3 linked regions of the Nothobranchius furzeri genome follow. The protein of the gene in region 1 purifies or fractionates together with the protein of each later gene. This does not show direct contact. Links are inferred from orthologs where the notes say so. Each region holds a gene or a part of one and is shown in the gene's direction. Other genes may lie near its edges. The genes, in order: ift81, ift88 and ift74.

What was found.
Region 2: the proteins of ift81 (region 1) and ift88 fractionate together in Homo sapiens (co-fractionation; 3 studies listed by BioGRID and IntAct, with this or other methods). This does not show direct contact. The link is inferred for Nothobranchius furzeri from reciprocal best matches to the Homo sapiens genes IFT81 and IFT88.
Region 3: the proteins of ift81 (region 1) and ift74 purify together in Homo sapiens (affinity purification with mass spectrometry; 3 studies listed by BioGRID and IntAct, counting the BioPlex papers as one, with this or other methods). This does not show direct contact. The link is inferred for Nothobranchius furzeri from reciprocal best matches to the Homo sapiens genes IFT81 and IFT74.

Annotation. Positions count from the first base shown.
Region 1 is NC_091757.1:28,290,824-28,294,476, forward strand, and holds part of ift81 (intraflagellar transport protein 81 homolog), read left to right. Parts: coding exon 1-75; intron 76-372; coding exon 373-457; intron 458-775; coding exon 776-939; intron 940-1,019; coding exon 1,020-1,112; intron 1,113-1,361; coding exon 1,362-1,508; intron 1,509-3,331; coding exon 3,332-3,481; intron 3,482-3,653. UniProt on the Homo sapiens protein: Component of the intraflagellar transport (IFT) complex B: together with IFT74, forms a tubulin-binding module that specifically mediates transport of tubulin within the cilium. Binds tubulin via its CH (calponin-homology)-like region.
Region 2 is NC_091742.1:29,234,560-29,238,212, forward strand, and holds part of ift88 (intraflagellar transport protein 88 homolog), read left to right. Parts: intron 1-61; coding exon 62-114; intron 115-203; coding exon 204-269; intron 270-2,550; coding exon 2,551-2,657; intron 2,658-3,653. UniProt on the Homo sapiens protein: Positively regulates primary cilium biogenesis. Also involved in autophagy since it is required for trafficking of ATG16L and the expansion of the autophagic compartment.
Region 3 is NC_091747.1:28,197,788-28,201,250, forward strand, and holds the end of ift74 (intraflagellar transport protein 74 homolog), read left to right. Parts: intron 1-1,260; coding exon 1,261-1,358; intron 1,359-1,549; coding exon 1,550-1,676; intron 1,677-1,783; coding exon 1,784-1,947; intron 1,948-2,022; coding exon 2,023-2,148; intron 2,149-2,231; coding exon 2,232-2,292; intron 2,293-2,466; coding exon 2,467-2,564; 3' UTR 2,565-2,885; downstream 2,886-3,463. UniProt on the Homo sapiens protein: Component of the intraflagellar transport (IFT) complex B: together with IFT81, forms a tubulin-binding module that specifically mediates transport of tubulin within the cilium. Binds beta-tubulin via its basic region. Required for ciliogenesis.

The DNA of each region.
Region 1 (3,653 bases):
CAGGCCAGGCTGCTGCGAGTGGAGAAGGAGCGAGAGGAGTCACTGAGGCACCAAAAGCAAGAACAAAAGCGTCAAGTATGTGCTTTTGATGGCTTAGTCTGCAAAGAAAAAACAATCCTTACATTAGAATTTATGGTGTCTTCATGCAGAAACAAACTGCTCCAGATTGACACACACACACACACACACGCACACACACACACACACACACACACACACACACACACACACACACACACGCACACACACACACACACACACACACTCTCTCATCTTCTAGACTTAAATGTGGACCTATTAATCTAGCAAACTGGAGGCAAGATCTAAATAATGACGAGCTAAGTTTTCTAGTAATTGTTTTTGTGTGTTCAGCTTTTCCAGGTGGAGCAGAGACTGGTGAGGTCGCAGCAGCAGCTGAAGGACATGCGACAGGCAGCAGCTAACACCAACCCAGAGAGTGAGTCTTCTGCAGACCGCAGCTGAGTGGGAGGTTCAAAACCACGGCCTAGGCTGAAGGACATTTTGATTATTTTACAGACCATTTCTGATGTTGAACTGGTCTGTTCCCATTGAAACGGGCCTGCACGTTAACGCCTGTCATTTAGTACAAGTGCTGCGTGTGCGGTTCCAGAAACCGAACATTCCTTCAAGTTTCACAAGATACTAGAGATTTAGTCTATTATGTTTTTAGTAGCCTGGCACATTAATGAATACTTCAGTTAGTCTCCAGAGTAATCAGAGAAAATCTGTTGTTGAGAAGGTTTGTGTCTTTCAGGCCTAATGAAGAGACTTGAAGAGGAGATCCAGATCAACTCCTACATGGTGTCTGAGAAACTCCCCAAAGAGCTGGAGGGCATGAGGCGCACGGTGCAGTACCTCCAGAAAGTGGCTTCAGAGCCTGCAATGGACCAAGCTGATATCCAGGAGCTAGAAGACAAGGTCCAGACCTGCATCTGGGTTCATGGGTTACTCTTCCTGTGCCCTTGGTTCTGATTGTGCTTTAATGTCCACTCCTACAGATCAAAGAAGTGAACACTCAGATAAACCAGCTGATTGAGAAGAAGATGATGAAGAACGACCCCATAGATCAACTGGTTCCCTTCAAGCAGCAGGTTCTGACTGCTGTCATGTGATCGTTTCATCATACCTGATCCTCCTAAAACTGCTGATACCTCAGATCTGTTTAGAAATACTCAAATATATTCATCCTCTGTCGTTTCAGCTGCACAGTTAAAAACATCACATCCTTCTAACATTTGTTCCAGTCTTTCTTACCTTTTTCAAAACTAAAGTTTCTTAAGGCTGAAACATTAGTTGCTCTGTAAAATTGTCTCTGGTGTTTGTGTTCACTTGTTCTGTAGGCGCTGATTATCACTCGAAAGAAAGAGTCAAAGGCAAAGGAGCTGCAGGAGGCCAGGGAGGTGCTCGCCGCTGCAGAGAGGGAGCTGAAGCGTAGAAGCGGCCAGGCTCAAGGCTCCTCTGGGGAGGAGGTCATCCGCGAAGACGAGGTGAACGGCTCTGTCGGTCGTCACGTTCATACCCCTAAAAGCGTCTCCCACAAACTTTAACTTCATCCTAGAAGATTAGTAAAGCACCGAAAACCCCACGGGTTATTTCTGTTCTTATCCAAACGCAGACCGTCTCACTGTCCAACTTTACCCCCCACCCACCCACCCACCCACCCACCCACCTTCTCATGTAGGCCAGAAATAGATCACAAAGAGAAACAGTCCAGAACAAGGAACTGCTCTGGACAAACTTCCTGCCTTTTCCTTCATCTTCACTCCAATAAATCTTCTAATTGGACTCAGCGGGACATTTTAAGCAGACCTGGAGGACAGGAACTTTAAACGAGGATGTGCTCGTCCTTCTGGGACACGACGGAGACGAGGCTTAGCAGTTTGTTGGCTCACAGTAGAAGAGCTGACCGTAAAAAAAATCCGTGTTAGTGAAGGAACTCTGATGAACGGGGGTGGTGCTGTCACCACACGAACCCTGCGAATCACAGCTGTTATACGTTTGACGCATTCGTGTATCTGTGGGCTCAGAGCCGTGCTTTCTGGAACACGCTGAAGCACACGAGAGAAGAGATGCCTGCGATGTTAGCACACAACACTAAAGAGGAGCAGACCTTTGCCCAAACAAACAATTCCAGCTGGCGAACTAAAGAAACCGTCAAATATTAGTGAAAAGATATTTCTAACACGTTTAGTCTCTTGAGGAAAAACAGAAGGAAGGAAAATCAATGTGACAGAAGCTGAAAATACAGTTTTGTGTGTTAAGAGCTTGCAGTAATCTGCTGGTGTGTGTTCATGTGTCAGAGTTTGTAAAAAGGAGGTTCAGACCCTTTAAGGCTGCTGAGTGGGTGTTGTTTGTAGAGACAAAGAGGCCCTTGAGACCTCACATGAACGATGTTGGTGGAAAATGTTCTGTTCGACTCCTGTGTAGTCTTGGCCCATCAGCCACGGTGGAGGTGATCGCTTTATCAGAGGTATTTTCCATTCTGACGGCTGTGTGTCATCACACGCCACCAACCAGCTGCTGGGGGGGCGTGACTACGTCTGTTCATCTGCGGCTGGCCCCACATCACACCCCTTTCATCACCCTGCCTCAGCACCTGGTTTTAGTCAAGACGCTGAAATCGGAGGATTATTTTTGTGGTGAAGCGAGGTCCGTCTGACGGTAAACGTGTGGATTCTGTTTTACGACCAACAACTGAGCGGCGGCCCCGTCCCACGGCAGTTGTTTCAGGGACACGCTGTCAGGAACACAATGCAGTGTTACTGCACTTGTTAATTCCTCTCCCCACCACGTCTGCCCTTGATGTCCCAAAATACACAAAGAATAAATGTGCACACACACAGCAGACTTGGTGGATCCCCACAGGACACGGAGCACATTCTGTGCTTTCTGGGGCCGTCCTCCCGTGTCCGTGCTCATTTATAGCCACTCCCGTTGTGGAGGAGCTTCAGCGTGTCCCGGCAGACCTCACGGTGGGACTGATCAAGCTGCTCACTCGTCATTACTGACTGTGAAACTTAAAAGGATAGAGTGATCGTGCCATGACCCCCCAGGCCCCTCTGATGTCCCCCCCCCCAGTCCATTGTCTTCTTCCAGGGCCTTTCAGAGAAGCTCAGCTGTGCTGGACACCAAGCAGTCACATTTAGACTCTGTACTGTTCACAGAATTTTCCAAACAGGCTGTAACCGTTCAGCTCTCACGGCTAAAGCTGCTTCCATGAATATAATAAACCTGCAGAGCTGGTTAATGGTGTTTTCTGCTGATGCAGCTGTGTTTGTTTAAGTTTCTTTTCTTTATTATTATTTTGTAGCTGAAACATTTGGCAGCCAAGTTACGCAGCAAGAAAACCTTGTACACGAAAAAACACCAGGAGATGGCCGAGCTGAAAGCAGAGTACGGAGTCCTGCAGCGGACTGAGGAGGTTCTCAAGAAGAGACACGAGGCTGTCCAAGAGAAGCTGGTAACTCGTCTCACTTGTCGTCTGAGACTTCACACAAAACTGGTCAACTTAAAAAATAAAAAAGGCATTCAGCGAAAGGAGGAAGGAAGGTCGGGTCTGTGGTTTTTGGATTCATTCATTTAGATCCAGAGGCAGAGCAACGCCTCTCTCTCTCTCTCAAACTGCTTTTCCA
Region 2 (3,653 bases), on another chromosome or scaffold:
GTGGTTGTGTAAAGCGGTTTTAATGTTATGGTTGACTGTCTCTTCTCTCCATGTCTTTTAGACCCACCCAGGTGAAATGGCAGCTAATGGAAGCGAGCTGTTACAGAAAGAGCGGTGAGCATGAATCTTGTTTCCTGTTAGCTCATTTACAATGTGAAGTGTCATAAGTCGGTAAAGTTCTTGCCCTCTTTATTTTGTTGCAGGAAACTACCAGAAAGCTCTAGAAACCTACAAAGAGATCCATCGCAAGTTTCCAGAAAATGTGGATTGTAATGTATCTTTGATGTTCTTGAAAAAAGACGTTCAGGCAAACTGCATTTAGAAAAATACAATTGAAAGGTTCAGTCCCCTTTTTCAAGCAACAGATGTCACAGAAAACGTTATAACACCACACAACAGATACTGTGGACCATAAAATATAGTGTTGTCTTATGCTTTTGACCAATTTACACGTTGTTTGTTACTTTTCTGCTATATTTCCAAACGTAACACTCCTAAGTAACCATAAAACAATTTAGTACGCTAGCTAATATGTTATTAGCTAGCGTACTAAATTGATGAAGAACGAAGCTTTCAGGTTTTCTGGTTTATTCCTGTCTTCAGAATCATCACACTCACTGTCACCAACAACCTTCCAGAACCTCAACAGACACCGTTCTTTTCTTTGTGATACAAACACACACGCACACACACACACACTCACACACACACACACACACACACACTCACACACACACACACACTCACACACACACACACTCGTGCCACAGCCGACAGTGAACAGACGCCGTTCACATACAGCAAACCTTCGGAGCCTACCCCGAACCGGACCTCCTCCCACTGAACAGAACATGTTAAGCAACTTCTTACATAAAATTTGCAAACACAAGCAGAGTTGTGTTCCATCAGAGGGCCTTGCTTTGGTTTTGCTTGCTGTTTAACTGCTCTGAGCCAAGATTGTGTGATTTGTTCACAGAGAAGTCATAGCCCTTTAACTTTTACACATTTTGACACCTTACAACCACAAACTTAAAGGTTTTAAAGAAGACGAAGAAAAGATCGTTTTTCAAGATCACTTGTGAGTCGCTTTGGACAAAAGCGTCTGCTAAATACACAAACATAAGATAAAAACCAGAAGGCGCGTCACAAAAACAAAAATGTCAGATATAAAAAATAATTTAGAAAATGATTTAAATATATTTAAAATGGGCAAAAATAGACAATTGTGATTAAAAAAGTTAAGAAAGCGAGAGAGTGAACAGGAAAGAGGGAAACCAGTGGATCCTGAGGAAGGTGGAATAGGTGGGGAGAGCAGAATAAAGAGAGAGAGGTGAAGAAGGTCATACAAAAGCCAGCTTGAACAAGTGAGTCTTCAGCTGCTTTTTAAAGGAGACCACTGAGTCCACTGATCTCAGGCTCAGGGGGAGAGAGGTCCAGAGTCTGGGGGCCACAGCAGCAGATGATCTGTCACCTTTGACCTTTAGCCTGGTGCTGCACAACCAGTAGGCTTCGATCACTGGACCTCAGGGACCTGCTGGGGGTGTAGGGACTAAGAAGATCACCAATGTAAGATGGTGCTTGTCCATGTAAGGCCCTATAGACCAGAACCAGGGGGTCTCATTTATCAAACATGGCGTAGAATCCTTACTAAAACCGTACTTAAACTCAGCAAAAAACAAAAAGTACTTACACCAAGCAGGTGTGTGATCTATCAAACATGGAGTACGCACAGCTGCACGCAATCTCCGCTTCATAAATCAGAAACTACCTAGAAAGGTTCTCAGCTGCTTTTTCGTCACATCCCGCCCTCGCCACGCCCACTTACTGCCATAAATAGTCAATGCAAAGTGCCTTGTGGACCTCATGCATATACATAAGCCGGCTTGTTGCAGCATTTCGATCACGACCGTAGATCAAGGCAGATCAAGGAAGCGCTATTTCACCGAAGCAGAAGTTGAGGTACCTGTGGGTGAGGTGGAGAAATGAAAGGAAGTGCTTTTGCAAAACAATAAGGGAAAATCCACGGAGTGGCACAGCGTTGCTGAAGCCGTCAATGCTGAGTTCTTCAGAGAGATCTGTGGCGGATATAAAAAAAAAGATCCGATCAGGATTCGATCCCCAGACTCCCGGGTGAAAGTCACGCACGCTAACCAGTCAGCCCTACTGGAGGAGCTGCAGAAATCCACAGCTCAGGCGGGACAGTCTGTCCACAAGACAACTAGGTTGTTTCCTCCATAAATATGGCCCATGTAGAAGAATGGTAAGAAGAATGCCTTTGTTGGTAGGAAGACCTAAAACGTCTGGTATGTAGGGATCAGCAAACGTAGAATAAAGTGCTCTGGTCAGACCAAACCTAAGTTGATGTTTTAGTCTGAATGCAAAGGAAAAGTATCACTGCTCATGTCGCTGGACCCCCTATACGGCAAAACCAAAATGCTCCAGAAACGCATCTCCATTCACCATCTCACACTGCACCTTTATTTCGGACTAGTGACCAGCAGCTACCAGTTACTTGTATCCATGAATCTGAGTAAGCCTGTGTGTTTTTAGGTCTGTGTTTCCTGGTGAGGCTGTCCACAGACATGGGTCTAAAGGAGGTCCAGGAATATGCCACTAAGCTGAAGAAGGCAGAGAAGATGAAGGAGATCCGAGAACAGGTGGACGTTCAAATTCTACAGCTAGATTGCTTGTTTTTACAGCCTTGTGGCAAAATGTCATCTAGAAATGTTGTTGATTTAAACAACTGACAGCAGAGCTGTGCCTGCTCACTGTTTCTTAATGAGGAAGACAAGCGGCTTGGGCAAACACTCATTCATTCACCGTAAAGAAGATGACTTACATGAGGATTAACCCAAAAAGTATTTTTGACTGTTGCGTGATATGATACGTGTTGATTATTGTCTGACCTTTAAATCAAATGAAATCCAACTTTATTCAACAAGCACTTTTCATGCAGTGAATCAACTCAGCCTTTATTTAAAAAGCACCTCACCGGCACAAGCGTGCCACCAAGGTGCTGTACAGCAAAAGAATAAAACATACTAATTCAGCAGACACGATTAAAACCAACGAGTTCAACTTACAAGATAAGAACATGTCAAACATCCACAACAGCTAGCCCACCCAAGTCAAAGCCAGATCGTAGAAGTTGGTTTTCAGCCTTGTTTTAAAAACTGCTGCTGATGGAGAGATCCTAACAGTTGGGGGCAGTGCGTTCTACTGTTTTGGGCCAGCAACGGAGAACGCCCATCACCTCTTGACTTCAGCCGAGCCGTGGGAGCCACAAGCAGCAGCTGTTCTCACAACGGAGTGTTTGAGCCGGAGCAAATGTCTGTAACAAGCTGGAGCCGATCCGTTCAGAGCCTTAGACAAGATTAAAAGAAATTCTAAAACCTACAGGTAACCAATGGAGAGTAGCCAGGGTTGGTGTCACGTGTTCATGCTTTCTTTTGCCGTCCAAGAGTCTTGGTGCAGCATTTTGGACAAGCTGCAGTCCAGCTACGGTGCCCTTACTGACACCAGTAGTCGAGGCGTGAGGTAATAAAAGCAGGAACAGTCTCAAGGTCCCGTCTGGATAAAAATGGCTTCACTTTGGTCAAACGTCTTAAATGATACAATGAAGAGGATACTGCAGCACCCACATGAGCAACTCT
Region 3 (3,463 bases), on another chromosome or scaffold:
GACGGAACACTCTGCCATAAAGCCCTGACTTTCATCCGTCTCCTGACTGCATCTCTGGGGCTCAGCCTGGTGTTCTTTGGGTTATTTTTACCTCTCTCACCAAGGCTCTTCTTCCCCAGTAACTCAGTTTGGCCGGACAGCCTGCTCTAGGAAGGGATCTGGTCATCTCAAACGTCTTTCCTTTAAGGATTATGGAGGCCACTGTGCTCTTAGGACACTTGAGTGCAACAGAGATTTTTTTTTTGTAACCTTGGCCACATCTGTGTCTTGCTACAAGTGAAATTGGTCGTATATATTGTATTGTGTTGCTTTCTTAATCAAGTCCAATCAGTATAATCAAACACAACTGGGCTCCAATGAAGGGACTATCTCAAGGATGATCAGAAGAAATGGAAACCACCTGAATCACCCAAAGTATAGACGCAACACTTTAGTTTTTGCTCCCATTTTTCATGAGCTGAACTCAAACATCTATAAAAATTTTTCTACATCCACAAAAGACCCATGACTCTTAAATATTGTTCTGAAATCTGTTTACTTGTGTCTTAGAGAGCACTTTTCCTTTACCAACATAATACATCCCACCTCACAGGTGTGGCATACCAAGGGGCTGATTAGACAGCATGAATAATGTACACAGGCCCTGTCCACACGTAGCCAGGGATCTGCCAAAACGTAGATATTTTTCTACGTTTTGGCCTGTCATCCACACGAAAACTGAGTTTTTTCACACGAAAACGGATCTTTTTTAAAACTCCGGCCAAAGTGAAGATCTGCGTTTTCTCCGTTTTGGGTGTCTGCGTGTGGACGGACAAACCCGGAGTTTTAAGGTCCGCAACGTCACTTTCCGCGACAAAAAAAATGCTGACATCACGTGTGCGACCTGTGTTTACACTAGCCGACAACATGGATGCCCTCAGAGCTGCGCTCGCTTTATCAATTGTCCAAGCGCTTTTTGCTTGTTTGTTTTTGCAAGCGGAATTACTGCTGCTTGCGGAAGACCACAGACGAAGGAAGAGGTTAAGAACGGGGGAAGTACTGCCACCTACAGGTCTGGCATGTCCTTAACAACGTATTTATCCGGGTACGTGTGGACAGAGTTTTGTTTTAAAACGAGGTGGTGTGGATGCAAGTTTTTGGAGGGGTGGATATTCGTTTTTAAAAAACCTGGCTACGTGTGGACTAGGCCTTAGACTGCCCATAAAATGCCCGAGAGTGCTCCTGTGTGCCCATGGAATTGAGTTGTTCCTCCTGTCTTAGAATTACTGGATTCTTACAAGCAGTTGGAGGCTGATGAGCTGGAGAAGCTGACCCAGAGTCAAGAGAACATCGTCTCAGTCCTGGAGCTCTGTAGCAGGGTGAGGTTTGGTTTGGTTTGGGTGGGGTGGAGGAGGGGAGGGATATAAAGAAGTGTGTGTGTATGTGTGTGTGTGTGTGTGTGTGTGTGTGTGTGTGTGTGTGTGTGTGTGTGTGTGTGTGTGTGTGTGTGTGTGTGTGTGTGTGTGTGTGTGTGTGTGTGTGTGTGTGTGTGTGTGTGTGTGTGTTATAGAACATGCTGCGGCTACGTCAGGTGGATACAATGACTGCTAGTGAGCTGAGGAACATGCAGGAGGTACTGTTCAACAAGGAGACCGAGGTAGTCCAGTCAGAGAGCACTGCCAAAGGACTCACAATAGGTCTGACACACACGTAATATCATAAAATGTTAGCCTCCAAATGTAGGCCGAGCGTAGCAGAAGCAGAATGATGCCAGGCTAATTTGACTTTGTTCTCCACCGCCCAGAGTCGCTGCGTCTGCACCAGGACCTGGAGAAGGTCCAGCAGCTGGAGGCGAAGATCAAAAGTGAGCTCAGCACCTTAAAGGAGCAGCTCAGCAACATGAAGTCTGAGCTGGACACCTTCAGAGACCTGAATACTCTGAGACACACAGCCGAGGAAAAGAGAAAGGTATCGACACCTGTGTTGCTGACACAAACACGTTTTATTTTATCTGCTCACTGACTCAAGTCGTCTTTGGGACAGAGACTACTGGAGAGCCAGACATCTCTGGCGCAGCGTCGAGATTCATTCATGCAGCTGCTGGAGGAGATGAACCAGAAATATGAAGCTCAGAAGACCAAACTTCAAGAAAATGAGACTCATACTCAGGTTGGAGCCATCTAATTCCAAATTCCCAAATGTCAAAGTTAGAGAACAGAACCACCATGGATGTTTGTGTGTTTGTGTTTTAGCTGGCAAACCTGGAAAGGAAATGGCAGCATTTGGAGCAGAACAATTATGTCATGAAAGAGTGTATCCTTCAGAATCCACAATTCTACTTAGATGTTTTACTTGCAGTGCACATTCTTGTGTGAGAGAGGGAACCCTTTTCCAGTTTCAGAGCTTTAGGGATGTTGTTAGTAAATCTGAGTGAAGACTGGGGCAAATGAAAGCAGAACGCGGTGAATTCCTTTACTGCTGCATCAGTCATTGCATCCAAGACTCAGCAGTGTGAGTACGCCTCCATTACCAACAACGTCTACCAGCTGGTGGCAGAGTACAACAAGAGCCTGATGGATGCCTAGACTCATACCAATACCTGCCTAAGAATTTGTTTTCCTCTAAAATCACAACTTTGAGTTAACCCATAAACATTTGAGCATTTTTGTGCTACTGGAGAACACCTAAATCATTCTAAGGATGAGAGTCTGGCTGTTAAAGTAGACGACCTTTAGGGTAACTGTGAAGTTGGGACAGGATTTTCTTTTCCAGATGGTCTTTAACGAGCTCTTTGCTTCATCTCAGATCGGTTCTGGGTGTTTGCTTTACTGGATGCTGGTCCAGAGCAATCCAGCAGATCTCGTATGATGCTCCTGAACACCATTAAAACCTTCTGATTCTTCACATTTTTGAATGGTGTCAGAGTGGTTTATATTCATCTGATAACTTGTTAAATGACATCCAACAACCGTCCAGATTATTTAATAAACCAGACATCACACCTTTCTGAGTCGCGTAGAAAACTCTTGAACACACCAGGTCATGTTTCATCAGAGTTCATTCATTGTCTCATTTAACATCACTGTGTCATCATTCATAATCATTAGCCTTTCATCATCATTGATATAGTCACAAATAGATTTTTATTAAATATATATTTGTCTCTGAGTCTAATTATTATAAAGTGTTGTCTCCCTGGATTCACCAAAGTATCTAATGTTAAAGGTTCAGTAATATTGATAATCCATATTTTTATGGAATATTATGTTTTATTGAATTCTATTGACAATTTTAGTAACCACCTACAAAGCATTATAAAATTATTATTGTTTTGGTCTCATAAAATTATTTATTTCAATCTACAGGTTGTTTGCTGTGTTCTCTACAATGAATGTTCTATCTAAAGTGGTTTAATAATTAATCATGAACGAACATAAAAGTTTATTATTTCATGACTTATTTCAAATCTTAAATGCACAAAATG